Linked DNA regions of Arabidopsis thaliana. The protein of the gene in region 1 interacts with the protein of each later gene in a pairwise test. Each region holds a gene or a part of one and is shown on either strand. Other genes may lie near its edges.

What was found.
Region 2: the proteins of BZIP24 (region 1) and AT1G13520 interact in a two-hybrid assay, tested with the Arabidopsis thaliana proteins (one large-scale study listed by BioGRID).

The regions. Positions count from the first base shown.
Region 1 is NC_003074.8:19,282,439-19,286,193, forward strand, and holds the start of BZIP24 (basic leucine zipper 24), read right to left. Parts: upstream 1,755-3,755; 5' UTR 1,627-1,754; coding exon 1,568-1,626; exon of another isoform or gene 1,412-1,567; coding exon 1,216-1,411; intron 1,131-1,215; coding exon 824-1,130; intron 515-823; coding exon 390-514; 3' UTR 1-389. Other genes in the region: ASAT1 (acyl-CoA sterol acyl transferase 1), read left to right, coding at 1,982-3,019; AT3G51980 (ARM repeat superfamily protein), read right to left, coding at 3,373-3,585, 3,683-3,755. UniProt on the Arabidopsis thaliana protein: Transcription factor involved in the regulation of salt stress response. Functions as a negative transcriptional regulator of salt stress acclimation response by regulating cation homeostasis.
Region 2 is NC_003070.9:4,631,241-4,634,995, reverse strand, and holds AT1G13520 (hypothetical protein (DUF1262)), read left to right. Parts: upstream 1-1,696; 5' UTR 1,697-1,772; coding exon 1,773-2,092; intron 2,093-2,295; coding exon 2,296-3,139; 3' UTR 3,140-3,363; downstream 3,364-3,755. Other genes in the region: AT1G13530 (hypothetical protein (DUF1262)), read left to right, coding at 1-74, 178-289, 419-1,256.

The DNA.
Region 1 (3,755 bases):
TTGGGGCAGTCTATTCCACACCAATGGAATTCATTTGCATTTGAAATTTATGATATACACATGCATGTATGATGCATACCTTAAGTCCTTATCTATTATTGGTTTGGGTATTCACCATACCCACATATAGAGAATCTATAAATGGACCCCCAAAGATCTTCTAAGCCCACAATTATCATCATATATACATACAACTACAAATCTACAATCATCCTCCTCTTCATTTCAAAATCAATTCCACATCAAGATGTTTTGGTACCCTTAAAATAGACATATGTAGAATAAGTTACCAATCTGTGTATATGTTAACTATATTGGAATCCGACCTCTATGCCCCTAATTAAACCCATATGTATATATATACACACAATACCACAGCCCGTAAACGCTTAACGTGAGAATGGTGGTGGTTGAGGAACAAAAGATTGAATAGGATCATGAAGTGTTTGGCCCTCCTCGCACTCCACTCTTGCCGCTTCACACATCATATTACTTGTTGCTAAGTTGCATCCATCTGTGTGATTACACGAGATCCAAAATTGTGTCAAGATTAGGTCTAGGTCACTTTTGTATAAAAATGATGGTGATGAATGGTTTACTATTAGTTTACGTTTTCATTATTCGAAAATGTGATTTTTACTAAGACGATAACCAAATAAATGAAACTAGTTCTTTAGCGTTTCGTATTGTTCAATAAAATTTCAGTAGCTCAAATTTCATTAGCTATTTACTAGTTCTTCCTCTTAATGCTAAATTTTTCATCAACGTATCAGATTGTTGACAACCAATTTCAACTAGTAAACCAAATAGTAGGAGAAATCACCTTCTTTGAACACAAAACCAGAACCGTTGCATTGTTTCTGAAACGAGAAACTACAAAGTTCAACTTCAATTTTCCCCTGCATCTCTACCAGAAGAGCCCGGAGTCTGATCAATTCAGTTTCCACCATTTCTTGGCTCTGAAGTTTTCTAAGGAATTGCTCATTCAGAGATTGCAATCTCATCACTTCATCTTCAAGGTATGCAGTGCGAGCCTTCTTCTTCTCCCTGTACTTCCTCACTGCCTCTCTATTACCACATAACCGTTTCTTGTTGCTACTGTCAGAATGATCATTCTCTTGCTGATCCTGCTGCAACATAAAAATATGTATCTATAACAATCCATTAAAATATCATCAGAAACATACCATATCTTAAGGGAAGAGATATTATTACAGAGATGATGAGATGAGTGTGAGCGTGGAAGCATGTGTGGGAGTGAGAAGCATCCTCTGGGCCTGGAGGGTTACAGCTATGAGTGTGACTACATCCTCTCGTTACTCGATCTTGATCTTTATCTTCTTCCTCATTCATCTTTATATATCTTTGATTCTGAGGTCCAAACTCAAGATCTCCAAAGAAAACACCTGTTCTGTTTGGGACATAGAATTATGGTGATATTATTAGGGTTTTTGATTAAAGTAAAGATGGTGTTGAAGAATATGTTCTTGATTAACATAGTGGATGAATAAAACAGTAGTCAACTCTTTATAATTTTTTGACATGGCCCAAGAAAGAAAAATCTTACAGAGAATCAAAGTTAGAAACTCGTTGGTTTCCTCTGCAATCCTTGCAACAACAAAACATCCAAGTACAAAGATTGATAGGCTTTTTGGTTTTGAGATTACCTTAAAATGTTTTTTTTTTTGTCTGTACCAAACTTTGAAATGGTTTTATTACTAGAAATTACGACGGAACAATAAGCAAAGCCATTTACCATATCCCCAGACCCCAATGAATAATATATTATAAGAAAGAGAATTGGTTCTTTAATGTCAATTGTCAAATTGTTTCGTATAGAAAAAGAAGAAGACTTTTCTCATGGATTTTAACTTATTGCACGTCTCTATCATTATTTAGTGTTCGCTGGCGGACACGTTTTGTAAACGTGTTTATCATCATCATCTTGCTTCCCGACGAGATTTGAGTTCAAGAAGCAAAAATGGCGAGTTTCATCAAGGCATGGGGTTTAGTGATCATCTCACTGTGTTACACTTTTTTCATTGCCAAATTGGTTCCAAAAGGAATCAAAAGGCTCATACTATTTTTCCCTGTCTTCCTCATTTTCTTCATAGTACCTTTCTTGATATATTCCTTACATTTACTCGGCATCACGGCTTTCTTCATCGCTTGGCTAGCAAATTTCAAGCTCTTATTATTTGCATTAGGGCGCGGTCCTCTCTCTTCAAACCATAAACCCCTATCTCTCCCTATTTTCTTAGCTGTCTCTTGCTTGCCCATCAAGATTCAGCTGAGCCCAAAACCTACAAAAACTCACTCCCATGAAGGATCCACAGAGGGTCCTTTGATTTATACCATAAAGGCAGTTTTTGTGGTTCTCATCATCAAAGCCTACGAATACAGTACCAAATTGCCTGAGAAAGTCGTGCTGACTCTCTACGCGATCCACATATATTTCGCCCTTGAGATCATCCTTGCCGCCACAGCTGCTGCGGTTCGAGCCATGTCGGATCTTGAGCTCGAGCCACAGTTCAACAAGCCGTACCTAGCGACATCACTTCAAGATTTCTGGGGGAGACGATGGAACCTGATGGTCACTGGAATCTTACGGCCAACCGTGTACGAACCGTCACTTCAACTGTTCTCGGTTTTGGGCCCGAACTATTCCCAGATTCTTGCAGCTTTCGGGACGTTTGTTGTCTCTGGGATAATGCACGAGCTCATCTTCTTCTACATGGGACGGTTGAGGCCAGACTGGAAGATGATGTGGTTCTTCCTCATAAATGGATTTTGCACGACCGTGGAGATCGCCATCAAGAAAACCATTAACGGTAGGTGGAGATTCCCGAAAGCAATCAGTCAGGTTTTGACACTCACTTTTGTGATGGTGACGGCATTGTGGCTGTTCTTGCCCGAATTTAATCGGTGCAACATAGTTGAGAAGGCTCTTGATGAGTACGCAGCCATAGGCGCATTTGCAGTCGAGGTCAGGAGGAAACTGACCGCATATCTTTTTTAACCCTGCCGTGTGACAAAGCTTGAGTGATCTCTATTTTAACTTATTTTTTTCTAACACTGTAAAACCGACATTTCTGCAACCCCATCATTTACATGGCACACGAATCAAGAAAATTGTGGAAGTTCATAATACTATACATAAAACCTTGCAAACATGATATGAAAGTAAAGATGAGGGGAAGAAACCCGCTCGAGTAGAGGCAATAACATGCAAAATGGATCAGCAAGATCCGCCTAAGTTACACATCTTAAGTCTATCTAAGGCAGTTAGAATTTGTCTACAACTCCTACAGCTAAAGCTTTTCCCACCAGAAATTAACGCACAGGGAGTTGCTTTCTTACTGATCATGGTGTTCATAAAAGTCCAAGCTTTTGGCGGAAGATCAGTTCCACTTCACCACGAATGCTCTCCACATCTGCAGCATAGTCTCTCTTGTATTCATCCGCCATTGATTCCTCCAGCTGTAGCTTCATTCTCTCTAATGCTTCTTCCAACCCGCAGGACTCTTTGAGAACCTGAGGCTCTATGGATTTAAGTTGAAGAAGAGTTTGGATTGCTGTAAGAGCCTGAAACATATTTTCCGAGTAGCATAAGTTAGAAAGAGATGTGTGCCAAGATTCATAGAGGAAGAAAAACGGTCATAGGCCCCTGTAATAGTTCTACCTTTTCTTGGAGATCAAGATCAAGCACCACAATCAAATCGACAACAGACTTTAGGAAAAGACGATCTTTGAAA
Region 2 (3,755 bases), on another chromosome or scaffold:
ATGCTTTGGTTGTGATCTCAATGGTTTGCCGTTTCCTCAGAACACAAGAGTCACCGTTAAATACCAAATCGGACGTTAGTTACTAGTCATTTCACTCCTAACTTTCTGTCAATCATTTTACTTTACTCTGTTTCTGTTTCTTCTCTGTTTATTATCTAAGCTTTGATTTCACCATAGATGGAGATGACAGAATTGTCTTGCTTGACTCGGTCGCGTTCATCCCCGTTCTTCACCAGCCTCCTTCTTCCAATCTTTACTACGTTATAAGGCGAAGAGGGAAACATGCAGGGTATGATTCTATTGAATCTTTCTCATGTTATGTAGATATCAAAGTTTATCGTTTTAGTTTTAATTAAGCCAAGATTAATAGTTTAGCGGCCTAAATTCACATCTTTTAAAACTTTGATTGGTATTGCAGAGAAGCATGTGTTAGTGCAAAAGAAGAGGACAAAGTTTCTTGTTGCCTTTGTTTTACTTATGTCTCTAATGCTACGCCAAGGCTTCTTGATCCTTTTGACATATACCAACAATTTGAGATACATCAAAGAGGCTCATCAACTCGCAAGTTTTTCGCTACATCTGTTGCTTCAGATGGAATACCACCTCGGTTCCTGAGGAGAAAAGGCTGGACCGTTCCTTTCTCTGCTTCCCAAGACTATGGTTTGATTGATGATGCAAAGGGTGTAGTTGATGCAAAGCTGCGCTATGAGCTTCCCGATTTCGGTAAGAGTGTAGTAGTTGGAAAATGGTATGTTCCGTTTTTGTTTGTAAAGGAAGGAGATGCTAAAGATCAGATGAAGAAATCGATGTATTATAGTATGACACTTCACCAAAGATTTGAAGAGGTTTTCTTCTGCGAAAACGTTGACAATAAAAATTGCGAGGTTATAGTTGATGTGGAGGTAGAAACAGAAGTGGTTAAGCTTGAAGGAGAAAATATTGGAAGAGAGACAAAAGGTGTGAATTCAGATGGAGTTGTCTGGTTTGGTGTCTCAGAGACTCAGAAGATAGGTATTGGGTCTGTGGTCTTGGAGAGGATGAAATGGGAAGAAGAGAGGTTTGGGTGGTCGAAGAAAGGCAATGAACTAAAGTCTAGCATTAAGAGAACTGAGAAATTTGAAGGCGGTGGACCACAATGGAAGAGTTATAGATGCTATGTACTGGTAGAGACCTTTGAACTGAAGAAAACTGATGGGAGTTTGGTATTGACGTATGAGTTTAGACATGTTGATAAGTTGAAGAGTAAGTGGGATTGACTTTATTTCAGCTTCTTTGTGTGTTATGTGTTCAATTTATGGTGTGTTCATTTTATTGAAAGGTTAATGCAAGTTCATGTGTTATGTGGTGAAGCTAACTTGCACAAAAAGGGTGTATACTCTAAAAGGAAAAAAACCTCAAAAGTTTTGTAATTATTTTGTAGAAAAGCATTAGCTAGTGCCAAAGAGTAAGACAGAGTCCCCTGTTTCTTTTGCTTCAGTTTCTTCCTGAAGCTAAGTCACAAGAAGCAGATCCTTATAGTTAGGTCAATCATAATATAAAGAAAATATAGAATTTGTTTGATTGATTCTCCATGATAGGTTTGTGAAACCAGGTCAAGGTCATAACTTTGGAATTCTAAAGTTTGAATTGAACCATAAAGTAAAAAAATTTGAAAAGTCTTCAAACGATAACTTGTAAAATTTGCTTACCGCGTTATCCTCAATACATGGTGCAATATATAAACATATCATATCTCTTCTAATCAATAACCTGATCAAGATTCTGAATTCAAGATGTATGTTACAAGGCATCTCTCCGAATACCAGAGAAACTCGTCGGACTTGACACGATCGTTGCCGGAAGGTCCAAACTCCGGCGTACTTGTGATTCAAGACGAAGAGTCAAAACCGACTTGTTGCTTTGGAAATTGCTACGATGGTGAACTCAAAGGCTTACCGTTCCCACAGAACGCAAAGCTGACTGTGACTTACAGAACCGGAACTGGTAATGACAGGCGCAGTTACCATGACCAGGTTCTGTTCATTCCGGTTCTTGATCAGCCTTATTATTCGAACCGTTATTATGTCATTAAACGACGTGGGAAGCAATCAGGGTATGGCCAAAAATCTTAATTACTTTCTTGACTTTGTTTTGTTTTTTTGAGGTTTTAATCAATTTATGTCATGCATGGTTCGAGATACTTGCTTTTGGGTTTGGTTTTCTTGGGATGGTTTCGGTTTGACCGGATTGGCCACCCCTTTTGACCTGACTTGCACAAATGGTATTCATTAAAAAAAAACTAATTTTGGATTGCAGAGGAGCTTCGGCGAGTGCAAAGGAAGAAGACAGAGTCCCCTGCTGCTTTTGCTTCAGCTATGTTCCTGAAGTTAAGCCACAAGAAGCAGATCCTTATGATATATATCAACAGTTCGAGGTCCATCAACGTAAACCATCATCAGGCTATTACACTGCCACTTCAGTTGCTCCTAATGGGATACCACCAGAGTTCCTTAAGAGAAAGTACTGGACCGTTGAGTATTCGAATTCCCAAGACTTTGGTTTGACAGATGATGCAAAAGGGATCAACACTACGCTTCGTTCCAAGCTTCCCAACGATATGAATACAAGTGTTGTGGTAGGGAAATGGTATGTTCCTTTCATATTTGTGAAAGAAAGAGATGCAAAAGATCAGATTAAGAGCTCACCTTATTACAGCATGACGCTTAAACAAAGATGGGAAGAGGTTTACTCATGCGTAAACGTTAACTACAACCAAAAAGGAGGAGAGGTTGTAGTTGATGTTGACGTAGAAACACAAGTGGTAAAGCTTGAGGGACAAGAAACTATTTCTAGAGAGACAAGTGGTGGTGGATTTGTTTGGTTTAGTGTTTTAGGGGATGAGAGACAAGACAAGAAGATAGGTCTTGGGTCTGTTGTCGTGGAGAGGATGAAATGGGAAGAGGAAAGGTTCGGATGGTTAAACAACGGTGAAAGATCTAACATTAAGAGATCAGAGAGATTTGAAGGCGGGTCATCGCATTGGAAGAGTTATCGATGTTTGGTATTGATAGAGAGCTTCGAATTGAAGAGAATGGATGGGAGTTTGGTGTTGACATATGAGTTTACGCATGTTGATAAGTTAAAGAGCAAGTGGGATTGAGTTTTTTATTCATCTTTGTTCAGTTTCTTTGTGTGTCATCTTTTGGTTCAATAATTAATTTAATGAATAAGTTTTATGCAATTTCATGTAGTAATTAAAAAAAAAAAAAAGTTCGCATTTAAATTCACGTAAATTTCAATTATGAATCATTTATTTGATCATTCTTCTTAAATGTTTTTTTTTTAATATTGTAAACTTGTAACCCTCATTCCAACAACTATGGCCCTCCATTTTTTTAATATAAATCAAGTTCTTTGAAAGTTGCTGATAACGTGTTTTGATTCTACTACCAATTTAAAAGTCTTCACATACGAGTTTAGACATGTTTATAAGTTGAAGAGAAAGTGAGATTGAGAGCTTTTCCAATTTGATTCTCATATCTCCATAATTTATTTAATTTTATGATGTCTCTTAAATTCTGCTTCAAGTTCTGTTTTTTGGGGGCTCTGTTTCAATACAAAACCTCTGTTCTGCAGATTGCTCAAATGAACAATTATGAAGTTAATGGTCATAATTTGGAACTCAAAGTAGATAAAAACTTAAGTTACGTGATAGAATTTAAAAACAATGTGATGTGAATTTAAAAACTGCCAAAAAGGACTTCCATAAAAGCTAA